Linked DNA regions of Danio rerio. The protein of the gene in region 2 purifies or fractionates together with the protein of the main gene of each other region. This does not show direct contact. Links are inferred from orthologs where the notes say so. Each region holds a gene or a part of one and is shown on either strand. Other genes may lie near its edges.

Region 1 (11,499 bases), on a different chromosome or scaffold from region 2:
TCTAGCTGAAATTAAGCGAATAAGACTTTTCCCTAAAGAAAAAATATTATCAGACATACTGTGAACATTTCCTGAATCTGTTCAACATCATCTGGAAAACATTTTAAAAAGAAGAAAAAATTCAAAGGGGGCGAATAATTCTGACTTCAGCTGTACGTCTCTAAACCCTGGATGTGTTTTGAGTTTAATAATAAACCATTGCAATTATAATTTAATAATTAAGTTTGTAGAAAACAATTCATGCAGTGTGTATATAAAGTAAAATAAAGGGAATAATTAAAAAAGGAGAGAAAATTGCAGAATAGGAAGAAAATAAGAATAAAGGTGAAAGATCACAGAAGAAATGTTTATATGTAATAGACACAGTACAGATTATTTATTAATAATTCACTCACTATAAATAATATAAAGGGAATAATTCAAAAGGAGAGATAAAATAAGAATAAAGGAGAAAAAGAGGAGAAACATATACATAATAATTAAACAGATAGAGGAAAGATTATGGAGAGGAAAGGGGAAGATATTTTGAAAAGAAGAGATTTAAAGATATGCTGAAAACCCAGCCTGATCTCACGAGAAAACGCAAGTATTTTTACGTTTTGTCTGTTTAGTGGCTAAATCGTACAAATTCCTGAGTTCAGTCGTACGATAATGTACGATTTTAAAAAGGAGGCGTGGCACCTAACCCCACCCCTTAACCCAAACGTTATTGGGGGATGAGCAGGTCGTACTAAATTGTACGAATTAGATTATACGAATTAGCCACTAAATCAAAAAGTTACGAATTGCCGTGAGATTGTGTTGGAAAACCTGTAACCATTGACTTTTATACTTAGAAAAACAAATGCTATGGAAATCAAGTTACAGGTTTCCAACATTCTTCAAAATATCTTAATTTATATTCAACAGAAGAAACTGATTGAAGTAAAAAGTGAGTAAATGATGACAGCTCCAATTTCAGTGTGAACTAACCCTTTAACACAAGTGAAAACAGCCGCTCCTGATGATGATGATCCCGTCTGCTCTGGGAATCTTCCTCTTTTTCTAATAATCTGTATTTGCCGATATTCTTCTGCTCGGTGTGTTTAAGTAAAGGGCCATACTGTGGTGTTGAGGGATCTTTCCAGAGTTACTTTTTGTGAATTTATCATAAGAGAAGACATTTATACTTCTAATATGCTGTATACAAAACAAATATAATAAAACATTTTGCAGACACGGAGTGGAGAGAACGGAGGCTTTATTGACACTCATGAGCTCAAATACATGCTAAAAACTAAATAATCAATCTATCTGAGAACACAGATGAGAGAAGGTGAATACACGACATAAAAAACAGGCCAGTTATAATAATGAATAGCCAGTCATCATCACAGCAGTCCACTTCGAGATCATATTCAGCAGGAAAAGCTGCAGTATTATCATCAGAAGAGTGTTTCCATTGCACAACTTCTGAATCCGCTTTATTGCATTAAAAACACATCGGTGGAGTTTATTAAAGCATCATCTGCATAGGCTACAGCAGATGCAACCAGATAAGGACATCAGCTGTACATTAGGCAAGTCAATGCAATAAATGCATTTGGGGCACAAGAACTGCAGCGCATTAACATGACTTATACTGATCATTTCAGTTACAGTAAATAAAAACAACAACAACACGGTATAAAACTGCTCCTCATATGTACAGTAGATGAGTGATGCTGATGATCTCCCTGCTCCTCATGTAGACGTGCAGTCGCTCAGGCATCACCGCTGCTGCACACACACACACACACACACGCACACACAGACAGACAGACAAAACATTAGTTATGAATACAGTTCAATGGTTCTGTTTCCCCAATGCATCATTTCATAAACAGTACGGCATGCTTGTGTGTATGGAGCGACACCTCTAGAGCGGTTTGCTTGGTGTATATATGCAGGGTTTATACACACTTTTACTATAAAAATTCCAGGACTTTTCCAGCTCTGGGGCCTCATGTATCAACGCTGCGTACGCACAAAAACTTTGCGTACGCCAGGTTTCACGCTCAGAATCGCTCACGTTTGGATTTACTAACGATGAACTGAACGTGGGAATGTGCGCAGCTCCACGCCAGCTTCATGGCTGGTGTACGCACATTTTTTGTGTGTGTCTGTTTTATTTCCATTGGCGACTCCTAGAGGCGGTTGTGTTAAATTGCACACTACAAATGTCTTCTCTGCTGTATGAGACGAGTTCATCCGCATGTCTAGTATATAAGGTTTCCGTACCATACAGTTGACCATCCAAACTTTCTCATGATAAAGAGTATATAGGCGAAATCTGACATGTAGCGGGGAAAATGGAGAGTAAGTTCATCAGCCGCTGGACTCGAACCGAGTTCATGCTTGAACGTGTCAAAACATGTTGCCATGGGTTTACCGAGCTGCGCAACTTAGGATGTTAAAGATAATCCAAAATTTTACACCTATAGATCGCACTATTTCTCTTTTAATCCACTCAGTGCGATGTTCAGACCCAACTGTGTATAAAAAAACTCTCCCACTCAATTTTTCTTTTGTTGTTAATTCCAGAGGACAAACTTGCAAATAACACAGTTTTTCTCCGGTCTACCTCCGAAAGCAGCACCTTCAATTCACATTCTGTTCAAAGTTTCTCTTCTTGTGTGCTTTTGCCGTTGCTTTTTCGTTGGGTTTTCCCAAAGTAGAGTCATTTGCATATCCATACGTGGGCGGAGGAAGGGAGGGGTTTTGTGCTCGTGCATGTTGCACTCAGTTTCACGTTCATTCAGATGTACAAAAGAATATGTGTGAGATTCGGCGTACGCAGTGTTTCATACATCTGAATTATTTTCTGCGTACGCACATTTACAGCTGTGAGTGTACGCAATGTTCTTACATAATTTCCACGCAAGTCTTCATACATGAGGCCTCTGATGTTTGATGTATTGTCTACATATACATGATAAATCATAAGAAACGTTTACATTTATTACAGCATATTATAAAACACGCACACGTTTCAATGCGTTTTTATAACTGTCAAATTACAGTTAATATCTTTTCAGTTTTGATCCGACACTCACTGCATTTTAGCAGGAATGAGAAGCTAAGATACAGAACATTGAGCTGAAGCTTGAACACACAATTAGATCGCAGCTTGAAATGGCAGTATCTGTCTAATAAATACATTAATTAAATTGCAATTAGACGTTTTCCCCAAATCGCACAGGCCTGCCGCTGATGTTAGCAGTGCTGGTGTTCAGGTGTAGATTCTGACCTTCTGCTGTCTGATGATCTCATCTCTGGTCTTGAAGACTGGAGCGTCCTCCACCTCGATGCCCTCCGCCATCTCCATCACCCTCTGCAGCAGCTCTGAGCTGTATCTGCACAAACACAGCGCCACTTACACACTACACACCAGCTTTAGTCAATGCTCAGGTAAAAAAACTGATGAAAAGGCTGACACTGAATGATTACAGCTGTATAATTCTGCTCCATGAAACAGGTAATGCCCAGAATGTGGTTTATTTGCACTGTTCTGAACACATTCACTGGCCATACATTCAGCTGAACAGCCAGCCTACTGCATCCCTGAGCTTTCTACATTAACACTTTAACATTATAGTGCATTAATAAACAATATAATAGCATTTAACAATGCCACATTTCCTTATGTTATTTCATAAGCAGTTCTGAGAGCAGTACTCTTACTCTTGAGTTGATCCTTCTGGAAAAACCTCTGTAACCCGCAATATCTGTGCTTCCTCTGAGGTCAAAGTATTGATCAGTCAGATGCTTTTCACTGCTTTCTGCTACATGTATAACATCATCTGAGCATTGTTTATAAGACATGAATGGTGTTATAATGCCTCTATTCATACAATAACGCATTATATTTGAGGTGAAGTTGGTTTCACATTCACACATTCAGACTTTGGTGTTCAATAAACAGTAAAGCAGTACAGGTTCATTATTATAGTGGTGTACTGTTATGAGCACAACTTGTGACGCTCTCTCTATATTATTCACAGCTGCTTTATTTAATATTAATAATGCATTTTATTTAATGGCGCCTTTCATGACACTCAAGGCCCTGTACAGGACAGCTAAAACAATCAATTCAAATAAAAACAATAGACTACAACACAAGCTTTAAAATGCAGTCGGGTCTGAGAGAGTAGGCTGTTCTGAACAGATGTGTTTGGAGTTTAAATTATGAAAGAGAGTCTAAACTACGGAGATCAGGAGGGAGTGAAAGCTGAGGAGCAGAGCGGCTGAAGGATCTGCTCCCCATGGTGACAAGGCGGACAGAGGAACAGTGAGGTGAATGGAAGAAGAAGACCTGAGTGTTGGAGAAGCTGTGGCCATATGAACAAGACTAGCACGCTATGGAGGAGCGAGACTGTGGACGGCTTTAAAGGTGAGAAGAAGTGTTTCATAAAGAGCCGGGAAGCCAGTGAAGCTGTTGTAGAATGGGTGTGATGGGACAGGCAGAGGGGGTGTTTGTGATCATGCGGGCTGCAGCGTTTTGTACCAGATGTCATTTATGAAGAGTTTTTTTAGGGAGGTCAAACAGAAGGGAATTACAGTAATCTAAACGGGATGTGACTAAACTATGAACAGGAATGGCAGCTGAGTGAGGGGTGAGGGAAGGATGTAAACCATTTATATGTCGAAGGTGGAAATAGGCGGACCGGGTGACATTATTAACATGTGCATTGAATGAAAGGTGACCCCCAGACTCTGAACCTGAGGGGAGGAGGTCATGACAGAATCCTCTGTGGGAATGGGAAAACTGATTTATTTAAAGTGGATGGTGTTCCTATAAGGAGGAGTACAGTTTTAGTGTCATTTAATTTCAGGAAGTTTGTGGTGAGCTTTGTGTATACTGGCTCTGAAAGACTTTAAAACAACATCAGCACTATTGAACTGAATGCAATATTTTTTATTTTGCAAAATGAACACAATTTGACCAGATAAATCTCTATATATGGGAAGATAGAGGTAAAGTTGGTTTAATATTGAGATATTCAGACATCCTCCTTAATAGTATAATGTCAGAAAAGTATTCTTGGCAAATTCTAAATAGGGAAATCATATTATCAGCCAATGACTGTCAATGATAGAGGTGAAGTTGGTTTTATATTGGCACATTCATTCATTTAGCAGCCTCTACATTGCTTACCATGTTAACTTGAATATTGGATCATAATTAGCATGCCAGTATGACTGCTGAACAACATTAACACTGTCTAATTGACTGTGAACAATGCTATACTTTTATAATCATTGGCTGCTAATATGATTCAGCAGCTAATATGAAAAAATTACTAATACTTTCCTTCTTAGACTTTACAGACCTGAAACTTGCCTACAGCACTTCTTCATTGTTGCTCTTATTGTGTAAATTGCTTCCTTGTCCTCATTTGTAAGTCGCTTTGAATAAAAGCGTCTGCTAAATGACTGTAAATGTAAATGTAAATGATTTCCCTATTTAGAATTTGCCAAGAATACTTTTCTGACATTATTATTAAGGAGAATGTCTGAATATCTCAATATAAAACCAACTTTACCTCTATCTATCAAAGTACAGCATTGTTCACAGTCAGTTAGACAGTGTTAATGATGTTTACAAGTCACACTTGCATGCTAATTCCGATCCAATATTCAAAGTAGCATAATAAACAATACAGAGCCTGCTAAATGAGCGAATGTGCGAATATAAAACCACCTTTACCTGTATTGAAAGAGCAGATAGTGTGCAGTCCTGGAGTATACTGCATTAGTACTGCACTGTATTGAAGCTGTTCTGATCGGGTGATTCTGCTGTATGGTGTTGCTCTTTATGCTGTGTTAAAGCTGCTGGTTGTTTTAGCTCTACTAGTGTTGTTGTTGTTGTTGTTGTTGTGATGCTCATACCTGCAGCCCATGAACACGTGGTTCTGCCAGACCATGGAGAGCGCGAGCAGATGATCCACCTGCGGCTCCGGGAAGTCCGCCATGTTCCTGAAGATGAACTCCCGCCTGCCCTTCCAGTGTTTGTCGCTCTCCGAGAACCCGCGGAAAGCCTCAACCCGGTCAGCCAGCTGCCGGTTCTGACCGATAAACTCCTCCACATCCATGGACGCCATTGTTACGAGCGATGACGTCACTCCCCGGTGTTCTTTTTCCGGTCGCGACAGCGCGCTCTCAAAAGCGGTGTTGCTAGAAGCGATACAGCTGCGGTCGGAAGTGAACGAGAATTGTTGATGTTGTAACTGACCTGTATTTAATTAACGTCTACTCTAACTCTAGCAATAATGGAAAAATAGTCATTATACTGAGTATTATTCTTATTATTTATTAAGTTACCCATTCATATTTTGTTCATATTTTAATAACGTCTATTCCCTCACATTAATTTTGAAGAGGATTGTTTATATTAGTTATTAAATTACCAATTAACTGTAACTTATTAACATCTACCCCTTTCCTCACAGTAATGTAAAACTATTAATTATTGTTGATGTAAGTATCCGCAGCTGTATCCCTTCTAGACCTTATTAAAGGCACAGCGCCACCTTTAAACGGTTTACTTTGAACAGAATACATTTAAAAATGCTGTTTACTGTGTCCGATTCAGATACAATAAAAAACTCCCTTTACTTGTTTTAAACTTGTTTGAGTGTCTTTCTTCTGTTAAACACAAAAGAAGATATTTTAAAAAATGTTGGAAACCTGTAACCATTGACTCCACGGTGTTTCTATTTCCAATGTAAGTCAATGGTTACAGGTTTTCTTCGTTTGTGTTCAACAGAAGCAATTCATAAAGGTTTGTAGCCCCTTGAGTGAGAGTAGTGAGTAAATTTATTTCTTTATGTTTTGGTAAAGTAACCTTTTAAATTATTTTTCATTGATTTAGCTTTAAATTAAAAAATTAAATTATTTTATTACAATCTTTGATTTGCAATTTAGCAATTACAATTTAGTATTGTAATTTGACCACACACACATTTTATTTACTTATTTTACAAAGAAACAGCATATAATTAAATTATAAATAAATATATAACTAAATAATTAAATAGATTAAATAATTAAAGGACACTGTTCATCATTAAAAACCTCAAAATGTAACACATAAAAGTCGATGGCAACAATTTTCAATGGTGTTCTGGGAGGACTGTGTGTGTGTGTGTGTGTGTGTGTGGTGTGTGTGTGTACAGCCTCAGACATTTATTTAAGTACATTGTTATCTGTGTTGTGTTAGATTTATTGGACAAACAAAAAGTTTGTTTTTAGTTAGTTTTAAGTTGGACCTAACTGTTGAATCAGGTCTTCTTTGAGTGTTTGCTCAAGTTTTAGACCAGTCTGATGTTTATGAAAATATGCTTATGGATTATTCTTAGTTTTACTTCAGCATAAAGGTCACTGCAGTCGGTTTAAAATCTAAAAATGGGGCGACTTTAGGGATATCTGGTGGGTGATGAGGGAAATAAAATAACATTTTTATGAAAGTATCAGTGACACTATTGACTGTAGTACTCATTAGATCTGTGTGTGTGTGTGTGTGTGTGTGTGTGCGCGTGTGTGTGTGTTTGGTTGACACATTGAGGATGTTATAGGCTCAAACCTTCATTAAGTTATGTTTTATCTGCATTTTTTATTTTTGTTTGACATATTGTTCAAAAATGTCCTCAGGCAAGCTTGAGAATTAAAATTTCTCAGATATTTGAACTAGAAACAAGAGAAAACTCTGAGTAACTCTATAAGAAAATGTTTTTTGTAATGTAGAAACATTCACCATTAAACTTAAGATATGTAGGGAAACCCACAGGGCTCACTTCAAATAAGAGATAGCAAACAGAAAGACCATCAGTTCATCAATCAACACATACCCTGCAAAAACCCATATAGACTGGCAACTCTTTATTTCGCTTTTGGGATTCTAACAGTATTGATTAATCAGAAATAAATAAATGTGTATAAATGCAATAGTTAATGTCAGAATTATTCGCCCCCTAAGATTTTTTTCTTCCTTAAATATTTTTCAAATGATGTTGAACAGATTCAGGAAATGTTCACAGTATGTCTGATAATATTTGTTCTTTTGGAGAAAGTCTGATTTATTTTATTCCAGCGAGAATAAAAGCAGTTTTTAATTTTTTTTTTACATTTTAAGGACAAAATTATTAGCCTCTTTAAGATTTTTTTTGAACCATCGTTCTACAATGACTTGCCTAATTACCCTAACCTGCCCAGTTACCCTATAGCGAAGCCTTTACATGTCACTTTAAGCTGAACACTAGTGTCTAGAAGAATATCTAGTCTAATATTATTTACTGTCATCATGACAGAGAGAAAATAAATCAGCTATAAGAGATGAGTTATTAACATCATTATGATTAGAAATGTGTTGGAGAAATCTGCTCTCCATTTATCAGAAATTGGGGGAAAAAATAAACAAGCGGTCTAATAATTCTGACTTCAACTGTGTATATAAATAAAACTTACTTAAATACAAAATGTGTAAAATGTCCACAAACCCAGAAAAAATTAAGCTGTAAAAATGGCCTTAAACTGGTGTATTTGAAGCATACTACAGTGAAGAGCTCGCATTTCTCAGTCATCAGTCTATAAAAACACAACTATGATCACATGAACAAATGACCCAATACTGTAGTTATCAGCAACTATAATAAACACCACAGGTTACTAGTCAATACTACAGTATGCTGGAGCATTCAATAGCAAAGTTGTAAATAATATAATATACACACTTTACTACAGTATGGTTCATAAACATCAGCGTTTACTATAACGTACTATAGTATTGTATTGACGTATACCTATAGTGTGCTAAATGTTGAAAGTTTACAAACCCAGGAAAACATATTAATCTGTAAAAGCAGAAGTCTAAAACATCCCAAATATCAAAAATAGCACACTACAGTAAAGCACTTGAGTTGATCTGCTGTAGTGGTTAACACAACTATAGTAAACACTGTAGTTTACTACAACTATAGGGTGGAGAATAGAAGGGATACAGCTGCAGATACACACATCAATATAGAATCTTCTCTGTGACACTGTACAATATTTCATAATTTTACATGACTGTGAGGATTGGGGTAGACTTTAAAAGTTACATTAACTGGGCAGTTTAATAATTTAATTCTCCTGATCTTTCAGCGATATCTGAATCTCATCTAGCAACAACCCAACTATAAACTACAATACACCAGTTTACTGCAGTAATCAGGTAACTAATACAGTATGCTGGAACATTCATTTAACAAAGGGTTGTAAATAATATTTAAACCATCCCTAATGTAAAAATAGACCAGTGTTTCATAGTTTAAAAACTATATTTTTGAACAGCTAAAGTGTTTGAACTAAACACTGTGATGATTCCTATCTAGTTGCTATGATAACTATAGTATTATAAACAAATGACCTAATACAGTAGTTTTCTCAGCAGCTGTAGTGTGGGTAAGGTGTAGTAAAACTATACAGTATACAGTAGTCTATCAGTTCACTATGCTACAGTATGCAGGAGCGTTCATTAACAGAGCTGTAATACTATAATATACACACTTTACTACAGTATGGTTCTAAAACACTGTAGATGGCCATATCTGGAGACGCTGATGGTGTGTGTGTGTGTGTGTGTGTGAGAGATCCGGAACAGCGCTGACAGTGAGGATGTTTGTTGTGTTTCCTCCTCTCGGCTGTTTGTTCATGGCTCCCCCCATCGGATTCACAGTAAAATGGTCGATTATTTTCGCGAACCGCCCCGCGCGCTCGCTTGAGGAGACTTTCTTCTTCACGCTCGCGTCTTGATGGACATTTTCAAACTTGACAGGTAAACGCAACGCGCTTTTTCGCCCGTTTCCCCCCGCTCGCCGTGCGTGACGCTCGCTCGCAACGCTCGGCTCCTGCGCCCGCTGCTAACGGAAATTTTTTGGTACGTCATTAATATGGCGCCAAAAGAGTTGTAAGTGTGAGCTGGTGTTTCGCGCAGGAATACACGCAGAATGTGAAGAGGAGCGCGCTTGTGTGTCGACAGCTTCACTTCGCAGGATGTGAGGACACCAGAAACAGTTTTGCGGATGACGAAGCGTGCTGTGCTGTTTTCTGAAGCGGCAGTTTTAGGACGGCTGTAATATGCCGTCGGCTCGGGCATCTCAGCCGCACACAGTAACTTTTATCGGGGCCGAGGAGGGTGCGTGGCCTCGGATGATCCTCTGATCTCTGCGAGGACACCATCATCATCTTCATCATCACCATCACACCCTCTCTCCGCAGAAGAGGTAAAGCCGAAAAAATGTGCCTTTTCTGCAGTTTTTGACCGTTGTTTCATGCTCATGTCGGTCGTTTGCTGCCTGAATTCTGTCTGCTTGTACGGGCTCGTTCGCGGTTTATTTGTTTGCTGAACTCTTCAGTCTGTGTGGAGTACTGCTGCTGCTGCTGCTCAACTTCTCAGCTTGGAGTGAGCGAGTGGCCTAAACGCGCTTCACAAACAAGCCCTGCAGGTCAGCGACCACGCCCCCTTCAGCTGCACACGGCGGCTTGACGTCACACACACGGGGCGTGGTCTAGAAAACGTGTAGTATTTTTTACATTATTATTATTATTATTATTATTATTTTTATTATTATTATTTTGTCTTTAAATGTTTGTGAGCCACACTGAAAACAAAACTAACCATAATTATTTTGTTAGCTCACATTGCTAGTCTTTGGGTGAACAATTCATCTGCATGTCATTAAGAAAAACATGTAATCTAAAATTGAAATATGCAAATGCACTACCTGTTTGTTTTCAGTTAAATTCTAAGATTAGGTCTGTTTGAGGTATCGGGCGGGGCTTGCATACTTAACCACGCCCCCAGCGGTCAGTTTTGGCAACGGAAATGGTGAGGAGGAGGAGTCTGTTAGGTTGTAATAACTCTCCCCAAATCCTTTACTACAGCCAATCAGGTCGCAGTATAAAAATCAAGCCACGCCCACTATTTTCTCATTTAATATTCAGTTTGTCTAGGAATTGCTTCACAATGCGAAAAATGATTGCAGCTTCTGGTTTATGAGAACTTTAAAAGTCCTGTGAATTGTTTTGAAATGTGCATTTTTTATTCAATGAAAGTAAATGAGAAGAGTCTTCAGGAATGTGCACAGGTGGGGCTCTGTGTGCTTGAGCACCTGATCTTTTTTCTCAAGGAGGAAAAAATGCCCCTCAAAATGAATGAATGAGTGTGTTTGTGTGTGTGCGTGAGTGTGTGTGTGTGTGAGTCTGTGAGTGTGTGTCTGTCCGTCATCATAATGCTTCACTATTATTCTACTATTATTATTCCCTCCAGAACTGTCTTGAGCATCTGTCTGCTGCAGGTTTGCTTTAAATGAGCAGCCAGCAACAGCAAAGCAGACACATTTCAAAATAAGAGTGCTTGTGTATTTTAGACTATTATTTTACACATATAAATCTAGTGGCGATGCAGTGGCGCAGTAGGTAATGCTGTTGCCTCACAAC
Region 2 (10,758 bases):
TTCAACACATTTTCATTACGTTGAGCAAGCAGTAAAATTATTTTTAGTGTACATATAACTGTAAATTATTCCCTAAAAACAGAACGATAACTGGATAACTGTGAGCCTATAGACCATTTTGAGGTAGCCTAGGTAAACATAAACAATGGTCTCACGTCCTGTTGGTTTTACATTTTTAATTTCTATAGCTTCCGAGAATGCAAACGAGACACACATTGATGTTATGATAGCTGTTTTAACATTAAGCTATGATTGAAATCCCTCGTTACAGTTATGGAATAGTTTGATAAGCAGGAAATGTTGCACTGAAAATAAAATGACATTTGTTGCTTGTTTAAACTAATTTAAAATAAGTTGAAACACAATTATTTTGGGGTTTTTTTGGAGAAGACTTGATCGTTTTTACATATTTAAGTGGATTGAATATAAAATAATTAAGTTAACGTAATTTATTTGTGTTGGGACAACATGAAGTAACCGTGTGGAACCAAGCATTTTTAGTGTGTAAAAAAAGGCTTGGTTCCGCACAATTCATTCATGTTGTCCCAACTCAAATCGATTAAGTTAATTTAAAAAAAAAACGTTAAGTGGACTTAACATAAAACATTTTAGTGTAATTAATTGTGTTTCAACTAATTTTAAATAAGTTTAAGCAAACAGTAAAAAAAGTCATTTTGAGTGTGCCTCTAACTGTAAATTATTCCCTAAATGTAGAGTGAATTAATAGTTTGACGGCAATAAATGTTCATAACCCTAACTGCAAGCCTATAGACTATGATAAGGTCCACACATCAATGGTCCCAACGTCCTGTTTTACATTTTTAATTTCTGTCGCTTCAGAGAATCCAAACGAGACACACATTGAAAATGTTATGATAGCTGTTTTAACATTAATCTATGGTTGAATTGCCTCGTTACAATTAAGAAATAGTTTGATAAGAAGCAGGAAATGTTCATAGGCTAATGCTACACCACATTGAAATGGTCTATATTAGTGTAAAGAAATGCTGGTTTCCGCACAATTCCTTCATGTTGTCCCAACACAAATCGATTAATTTAGGCCTGACTTTTAACGTTTTTACCAATGCATGTGAATTGAACAAAATTGTCTCCCCACAAACAACACAGAAGCATTGTGTTGTTGCAACTCATTTTATGCAAGTAGTTCGATAAAGCAGCAAAATACAACTACGTGTAGCAAACTGTAAAAGCATCCATTTAATCTGATTGACTGAATACGATGTTTCAGGATCAACCTTAAATGTTAATCCAGGAACGTCCTACTTGGTGAAATCACACCAACTAAAACCCTTCACGCGCATGAGTGTGTGTGTTTGAGCGAGGGGATGTGTGATGAAGACTAGTCTAGTGTGATGCCATTAATCAGACATCTTTTCCTGATGCTTTGTAAAATAATAATAATAAATCATAATAAAAAAGATGTAGGCCTAGATGAAGAAATGTTTTGTGTAAATATTTAACACTGCACAAAGAATGCTTTCCTGGAGTTTTTTTTTTTTGTAAGTTTAATGACAAACAATAAATATGAGTGCTGCAAATGCGAAAAAACAGCTGTTTTGTTCGACACAGTGTGACGGAGCAAACAAGCGGCAGTTATATTCATCATTCTTTGAATTATTGGTCTATTAGAAATTATTATTAATATAATTAGTGCAAATACTGCCAGCAAGGGGCGTAGCGGATATTTTAAAGTGGTGGGAGGGGCAGTTGTATGAGATCCAAAAGTTTACGTTCATTTATTATTTATTACCCGTTTCTACATGGTTTTTCTCTAAAATGGAGGGGACTGATAGGCCTCTGTTCATAGTTAATTCAGTACTTACACACTGTAAAAAATCATGGTTGTCTTAAATTAAGCTGAATTAAATTAAACCGTATGAGTCCATTGAACTTGTTAAACTGACTTAAAACAGCTTGCGCAACTTACACAATTAAGAACATGATTAACTAAGTTTAAAAAGTTACAATGAGCTAAAACATATGCTGTCAGGAATTATTTATCATATTTCTTCTCTTTTTTTGCAGTGTAGTTAGAGTAAAAATACCAAGGGCTCAGATTCGCTCTCGTCATTGGTAGGGACGGACACACATCCCTAAAGCGCATGAACAGCACACATTCTGTTTCGAGCTTTTAAAAACACGAATAACATACTTAAAAATATAAATAAACACTTAATACAAATAACAATCCCGTCCCATGCTGCAGAAGTCAAGTTACATGATTTTACTGCAGTAGGGCCTTGAGGAGGTGTGAACAGAGAAATTTAGAGAGGTGTGTGATGCAGAACTGCTTTATCTTGATTATTGCTTTTCTTAATCATGGAGGCCAAAATCGAAACTGAATTTTAATTAATTGCACTGCCTTGGTTAATAGTACTACGGTGAACTAGCAGCAAACTTGACTTGGTGCACGTGTAGGTTAAGAGTTGAAGGAGCATCAGACTACTTTGAAGTTGATTAAATTATTGGTAGGGATATTTCAGTAATTGTTAGATATTATGGGGGACATGTCCCCTCCGTCTCAAATTCTACACCCTTTACAATATACTTTAATATACAGTTACAACTTCCAGTTATTAGCAAGGGTGTAGAATTGGCATGGACGAAGGGCACGTGTACCTACGAATATCAAACAATTACTGAAATGTCCCTATAATTTAATCGACTTTAAAATAAAGTAATGCTCCTTCAACTCCTAACCTACACGTGCACCAAGGTCGCTGCTGGTTCATCTTAATACTATCAACCAAGGCAGTGCAATTAATTAAAATTCTGTTTGATTATGGCCTATGTGCCTATGAAAAACAATCGAGATAAAACAGCGAAACTGCATCACACACCTCTCTAAATTTCTCTACATTCATTCCTCCGCTCGGACTGCAGTAAAATCATGTAAATTGACTTTTACAGCATGGGACACGATTGTTAATTTTATTAAGTGTTTATTTTATATCATTAAGTACTTTAGTAATATTTTAAAAGGGCGAAACAGAATTTGTGCTGTTCAATGCATGTCCTCTAGGGATGTATATCCCCACCAATGTCAAGAGCGAATCTACACCCTTGGTTATTAGAATCCAGACCGAAGGGAATTTTAAGGCATTAAAAGCTGTTGTTAAATAGTTTAAATAACGTAATTAAGATTGTAAAATAGGTCAGCAATTCAGTTTAGGGACTCAAATATCCACGTTTGTCTGTTCCATAGCAAAGATATCTAGCTTATTACGTCTCCGTTTGAGCGAAACAAATATTTCGCGGCAGTTTCAACCAAAAATAAGTGACTCGGATTTTTTTAAACGTTCTTAAAATGTGTTTTAATCAAACATTTAATCAGGAAATCAAAGTTTGTTTCACAATTTACGAAACTAAAACAAAGAAGTCTTAAGGAAGCTTCAGCAAAAGTCTTAAACCTTGAGAAATGTCAACTTTTTGCCCCGCTAAATCTACATTTAACAACAACATAATAACATAAGGAAAAAATGTCAACAAAATATTAGCCTAATAGAGAATGTGTTGTGAATTAAAGTTGTTTTTGCATCGTTTAATCCAATTTTAATGTAAGGCATGGAAACAATTAAAATAAATGGGCATTAAAGCCTAAAATACAAAAACTTTAACGAGTAGCAATAAAAAAAAATGAAATGCGCATTTAGATTTGACCTAAAATGTATATCATCATTGAAATCAAACTGTAAATTATATATACACATTTCAAAATGTTAATAAACTCAAAAGTGTAGCTCTACTTAAACAGGAGCAGATTTACTCATGATATTCACACGTGCCAGCCATATCTATTACTATTATTGTTTAACCAATTAATTAATTCAAGACTCCTTTAAACACTCTCATTGTTGTTGATCTGCATCTATAATCACCAAGAGATAAGCTATGAATATTCATTTAAAGATTAACACACTACACAAACTGACACAGTAACGAATTAGGAGTTTTTATAAACTGATCTGCATCAAAATTGAGAATCAAATGAAAACCTAAAATATGCGCACACACACACACACACACACACACACACACACACACACACACACACACACACACACACACGAAATAAAATAAAAATCTCAAAATCAGGCTTGTCTCATGTGTATTTCATAAGCTTTACAGCATATTCTTAAAAGTTAATACATAAGAACATTTGATCAGTAAAACAATGAGAGAAAAAAAAAAAAAGTTTACAAATCAACAGGCCAAAAAAAGGAGACAATGTTTGCTTGGAATAGAAAATAAGTTGCATTTTTTTTCCTTATCAGACTGAGCTTAGTTCCAGTTGTATCTTCGTGAGGCTGGAGGCAATCCATACCCACGTCCAGAATTGAAGCCCTAAGACACAAAAAAAGAGGTGTTTTAGAAACAAATTAAAAACTTAACACCTTTTTAAGACCATGAAGAATAACATTTCAGACTTAAACAGGGCTAAACGCTAAGGATTTCCTTTTAATGGCCTAGCAGAAATAAAAACGCACTTGCCCCATCAAAAACAAGCAATTTCTTAGCCGCATACTTTAAATTATTTGTCAAAACAAGCAGACCCTATAGCTCACAGGTGTCAAACTCTGTTCCTGGAGGGCTGCTGCTCAGCACAGTTTAGTTCCAACGCTAATTAAACACACCTGATCAAACTAATCAAGCACTTTAGGATATGAAATATATTAGCGCTCAGCATATTAAGCCTATACAACCACATGTTTAGGGGTAAAGTTTGACTTAAATTTGACAATCAGATTAGAGCGGTAGTTAAATCCAGCATTGTTCAATTAAAACAACAAGCAACAATAAAGCAATATACACCAAAACAGCAGCTTAAAGCCTGGTTTATACTTCTGCGTCGAGAGATTGGTGTGACCCACGGCGCATGTCTTGCGCGTAGCCGTGCATTTATACTTCCGCCGGTTTCCGCCTCTGAATAAACAAGTTTGAGCCACTTGTACGTTATGGTAGCGTTCAGTAAAAACAAAACACCAGCGAAGAAACAACACAGAGGAACATAAAAACCTACTGCAAGCAAGAGATTCAGAAGTGTTACTGCAGAGGAACACAAACAGCACGCAGAAGTATAAATGCATGGCTACTCGGAAGACAGGCGCTGTGGTTCACGCAGATTACTCAATGCAGAAGTATAAACTAGGCTTCAGTTTACTTTAAAAAGTGAGTAAACCCCTCGCCTTAAAAGCAACAAGTTGATTCAACTTAGTAAGTACAACAATTGACTTAACTTTTATGATTATGCAGGGCTGAAATACAACATTGCAACATTGTGGTATGAATACAATTTCACCAGATTGCATGGGATTGTTCTGTATGGGAGAGCATCTGCATACAATCTACAAGCACACATTAATACAATAAAGAAAAACACAATTCAACTGAACAGTTTCGTCGTTTTACTAGTCTAACAGTATTCAGGTACAGTAATAAAGTTCTAAAAATAAAATTAATTCAACAAAATGCAAAGTCAACATTGCATATCCTATGATGTGACTATTGTGAACGGTCATATTGCGATATCGATGCTGAATCGATAAAAGTCAACTAATCACTTTTTACAGTTGAATGACAGATAAAAAAAATGTAGTCAACCCATAATAGCCTGGCATGTTGATTTAAGTTGATTTAACTCAGGCCTAATCGCAATTCTATTTATTCCTTCCCCTTAGTCCTCGAAACAGGGGTAAAATTTTAAGTCCTTCACACTCTAAGAACTGGGACAGCTCTACAGCACCTGGTCACGTAATCATGATCTCTAGCTACACATGAGATCAGACGATGGCGACTGCTGTAGTTATTCCAGTTGTGCTATTTTTTGGTATTAATCTTCAGGAAATCACTGACGGCGTATATTTTGTTATCATAACAACATAATGCGGCAATAAGATCGTAACTGTACTGTGCATTTACACCATGACCATATTCATCTATTTGCACACAAAAACAACATTAACATTATAGCGGACACTGTACAAAGCTCATTCCCAGCCACTAGACTTTTCTGACATGGTATTCGAGCCTCAGAGTGACTGTGGAACTGTCATACAGGATTACTATTAGAGATTACAGATAGCAAAATTTATTTAAGCAGTGTTTAAAAAGCATGATGGCAAAACATGAACGTGGTTATGAATATATTAAAACATGTGCTTGTTTTTTGTAAAAATTCATGACAAAAAAACACTAATATGTGCATCTCCTGACTTCCATGTGCAGCGATGCTGCTGTTGTAGATGGTGTATTCTGGGAAATTTTCAAGTGTGGTTCTGGAAAATCTCAGTTTCAAGGGCTATCTAGCCTTTTCCCTTAGCTCTAGCTAAAGATAATTGGGTAAGGGGAAGGGCTAAGGGGTAGAACGGGGTAAGGTCTCAACAAAAGAAAATCACTGGGCTCCACTTTTTATAAAATAAACTAGCAGAGTCCCTGATGGAGTATTTCATTTTTTCTAAATGAGAAAAAAAAAAAAAAAAAAAAACCAGGACTGATTTAAAGGAGCACACAAGGGTTTTCAATTTAGCAATATTTGCCATCTAGCTAGTAATGAGGCCAAAGCGATAACGTCAATATGATGCTTATATCAGTAGGAGGTGAAACAAAGATTGCAATTATTGGGCAGGGTTTTACAGAAATGTTAAGAGCAACAAAGTGACTTTAATTAACATTTTTAGTGGATTAAAATGATGACGTATATATAGAGAAGTCTGTAAAATAACAGAAAATGCACTGTCACTTTATTACAATGTGTTTGTAGCGTGATATACAACACCAACCCAGACAATATAGCACATTAAACAATTAACCATGCTAATGAAAGTCACTTTTATGAACCTCTCAATGGTACAAGTGGTTGAAAGAAAGATTAAGGTCCCATAATGCAAAAGCATAAACAAATGTGGAAGAGTAAAAACACGAATCAGAAAATATGGAAAACTGCTAATTTAGGGATATGTTTTGTGAGTAAGGGGCTCAGACCTGCTGGTTTTGTTGGGGTCTCCAGTCTCCTCGTCCCCTCTGCTGGTTCTGCTGGTATGAAGAGCCCTGGTTCTGCATGGCTCGATCCCAACCATGAGATCCCTGCTGGAACCTGCACAAAACACACATGAAGGCAATGAAGGAAAAAAACAGACAACTTTGTGACTAATAGACCACACTTGGTAAAAAAAAATAATAATAATAATAAAAATAATAATAATTTACAATATAAATATAATAAAGGTTAAATATTTAATGTAAAAATAAAATATATCATTATATAAGATCTGTAATTTATAAAATATAATATACATTTTATATATTATTGAAACCCTAATTTAAAAATAACTTTCCATGACTAAAAGATGATACTTGGTTTAAAAAAAATAAAATAAAAATAAATAATAATAATAATAATCGTAATTGTAATATAGGCTAAATGTATCATCTAAAAAATATATTATTATATAAGATCTATATTTTATAAAATATAATATAGATTTTATATATGAAACCCTTATTGAAAAATAACTTTTCATGATTAACAAGACACTCGGTAAAATATATATATATATATATATATATATATATATATATATATATATATATATATATATATATATATATATATATATATATATATATATATATATATATATATTTTCTTTTTTTTTTTTTCCCCCACAATTTCTGTTTAATGAAGAGAAGATTTTTCAACACATTTTTAAACATAATAGTTTTAATACCTCACTTCTAAAAACCGATTTATTTGATCTTTGTCTTGATGACAGTAAATAATATTTGACTAGATGTTTTTCAAGACACTTCTATACAGCTTAAAGTGACATTTAAAGGCTTAACTAGGTTAACTAGGTAGGTTAGGCTAATTAGGCAAGTTATTGTATAACGATGGTTTGTTCTGTAAACTACTGAAAAAAAATTGCTTAAGGGGCTACTAATATTTGACCTCAATGTTTAAAAAAAAAATTAATAACTGCTTTTATTCCAGACAAAATTTCTCCAGAAGAAAAATCATTGACAGTGAAAATTTCCTTGCTCTGATAAACATCATTTTAGAAATATTTAAAAAGGAAAAGAAAAAAAAAATCAATTGGGGGCTAATTCTGACTTCAACCATGATGTACCCCATTTATTCACAAGGTATTTAAAATATCTAAATATGTCACAGTAATGTTAATACGATCACTCAAACCTTTATATGCTTTAATAAGCTTGAGCCAGACGTTTATTTTTACATTAATATCTGTTATGTTCGGTGAGGGAATATTTTATATTATCATTTTATTTTGACAATTTCTTGACAGATTAAGACTTCACTTGCATTTAATTTGCTTTTTGTGTATCTAAAATCATTTTGGCAAATTAAATGTGTTGACAAATTAAGTGCCTTTCACTTATATGCCAATATAAATCAAAAGCTAAATTGATTAAATATACAACATTTCATGGCTTTATTCTAATTAATGGGTCTAATTAAGGTTAAGCATCTAAAGTTGTAAGATTAATTTATTTTAAAATAAATAAATCTATTCTAAAAGGTTACATTTCTTTTTTAAGGGTAAAGATATTTACAATATTACAAATGATTTTCTTGTTAATGCTGTTATTTTGAACTTTTTAAATTTAAGAAATCTTACAAATACAAATTAAAGATTCCACAAAAATATTCAGCAGCACAACAGTTTTCAAAATTGATAAAAAAACAGAAATGTTTGCTAAACCACTCTTGAGAAAACTTGGAGAAAAACTACAGCACTACAGGAATAAATTCCCCTTTAAAAAATATTAAAATAAGTTAATTTAAACTGCAATAATTTCAAAATATTCAGACAAATTAAACGCAACATTATTTTTCTAGATAGTTACAGTCACTTCCACAAATCTCATTTAAAGCTTAAAGAATCACATTTTAAAATCAATCATGGATATTTTCCAGTTTCCTAAGACTTCAGTAATCTCTAATCTTACACCGAATGCTTGGAAAGAAACCCCAAAAAGCTGAATCGCAGCAGCACAAAGAGCGAGAGTTCAGCTGAAGACACTTGAGCAGCATTCAGAAGCACAATTCACCCTTTCACTTCCACAACACTCGCCTGAACCATAACCTCATCTCACCTCGTCAAAACATAATCTTATGTCTTATAATCTTAAAATCAAAACATAACATAAACTTATTGCCATTCCATGGCAAGATCAATAGATAAAACAAATTACATAATAATTACAAGCTTATAGCTCAATAAGAGATGAAAAATAAATAGTAAATATACAATAAATAAATGAAAATACAAATAAATCTATGAAAATAAATTAAAATAAATAAATAAAAACTAAATAAACTAACAAATAAAACAAAAATAAATGAACAGATAAGATTTTCCCCATCCTTAAAAATTAATTAATAATAATTAAAAAAAAAACATTAGATTAGATTTTCCAAATAAGTAAATGATAACCATCTTTTCTAGTACTCTTAAAATTTCCCATTCTTATAAAATCTGTTTTATAGTGAGCAAAGCTTGACAGTGATTAAGCACTAATGGTACATAAACCATCATCTGTATATATTTTAGTTTTTTGCCACATCAGCAACTTATGGCTTTTCATTTCATGGCAAGACCAATATAGATCAAAAAAAAAAAAAAAACATATACAATATTAATAAGAGCTGACAAATAAATAAGTAAAGCAAAATTAACAAGATTAAAAATAAAAACATATGAATATAAAAAAATAAAATAAATGCATAAAAATATAGCAATACATAAATATATAATAAAAATAAATCACAAAATTTAAAATACAAAAATAAATATAAACTAAATAAAAAGTACATAAAGTATAGAAAAATATATAAAAGATAAGATTTTCAAATTCAGGAAATATAATTAAAATATATAATAAACAAACAAAAAAATAAATACGTAAAAATAAATAAATAGCAATATATAAAGCTAGCATCATTAAATTAAAACAAAATTATACATGTAAAAAAATAAACAAATAAATGTAAAATAAAGACATTAGATAATATTTTCCTATTCAGTAAATATAATAAATAATATATAATGAACATGAAAAATGTATAAAAAAAATAAAAACAAAAATAAATAAATAGCAATATATAACAATTAAAACAATCAAATCTAAATCAAACATTTAAACAAACATAAAACAAAAACGTTTAATTAAAGACATTAGATAAGATTTTCCCATTCAGTTTATATATAGTAAATAATTAATATATAGTAAGTCTACCCAGGGAGACATTTTTAAAATAAAAAAACAGTCAAGTCTTTAAAATTTCATATCAATAAAATATTTTATAGCAAGGCTTAAATAAGACATCATAACATAAAATAACATAATATGATATAAATAAGTTAAAATAAATAATTATATAAAATACAAATAAATACATTTAAACAAATAAAAAATAATTAATAAAAAATTTATAAATAAAATAACCAAATAAATATAAATAAACAAACATAAAAGACATTAGATAAGATTCACATGTTCAGTACATATAATGAATGAATAAAATAAGTCTTGCCAGGCAGACATTTTTAAAAACACTTCTCTACTTCTCTTTAAAATGTCAAATTAGTTTTATAGCAAGTAAGGCTTCAAGAGATCACAACAATAAGTAAAATGCATATTAAAAACGCAAATATATTTAATAACACAAAAACAAAGATCAAATAAAAATGTATAATAAAATAAACAAAAAGA

The links.
Region 1: the proteins of xrn2 (region 2) and cdkn2aipnl purify together in Homo sapiens (co-immunoprecipitation; 6 studies listed by BioGRID and IntAct, with this or other methods). This does not show direct contact. The link is inferred for Danio rerio from reciprocal best matches to the Homo sapiens genes XRN2 and CDKN2AIPNL.

The regions. Positions count from the first base shown.
Region 1 is NC_133196.1:49,532,449-49,543,947, forward strand, and holds cdkn2aipnl (CDKN2AIP N-terminal-like protein), read right to left. Parts: upstream 6,151-11,499; 5' UTR 6,123-6,150; coding exon 5,911-6,122; intron 3,375-5,910; coding exon 3,269-3,374; intron 1,759-3,268; coding exon 1,750-1,758; 3' UTR 1,224-1,749; downstream 1-1,223.
Region 2 is NC_133195.1:51,911,832-51,922,589, forward strand, and holds the end of xrn2 (5'-3' exoribonuclease 2), read right to left. Parts: intron 7,115-10,758; coding exon 7,003-7,114; intron 4,366-7,002; coding exon 4,303-4,365; 3' UTR 3,309-4,302; downstream 1-3,308. UniProt on the Homo sapiens protein: Possesses 5'->3' exoribonuclease activity. May promote the termination of transcription by RNA polymerase II.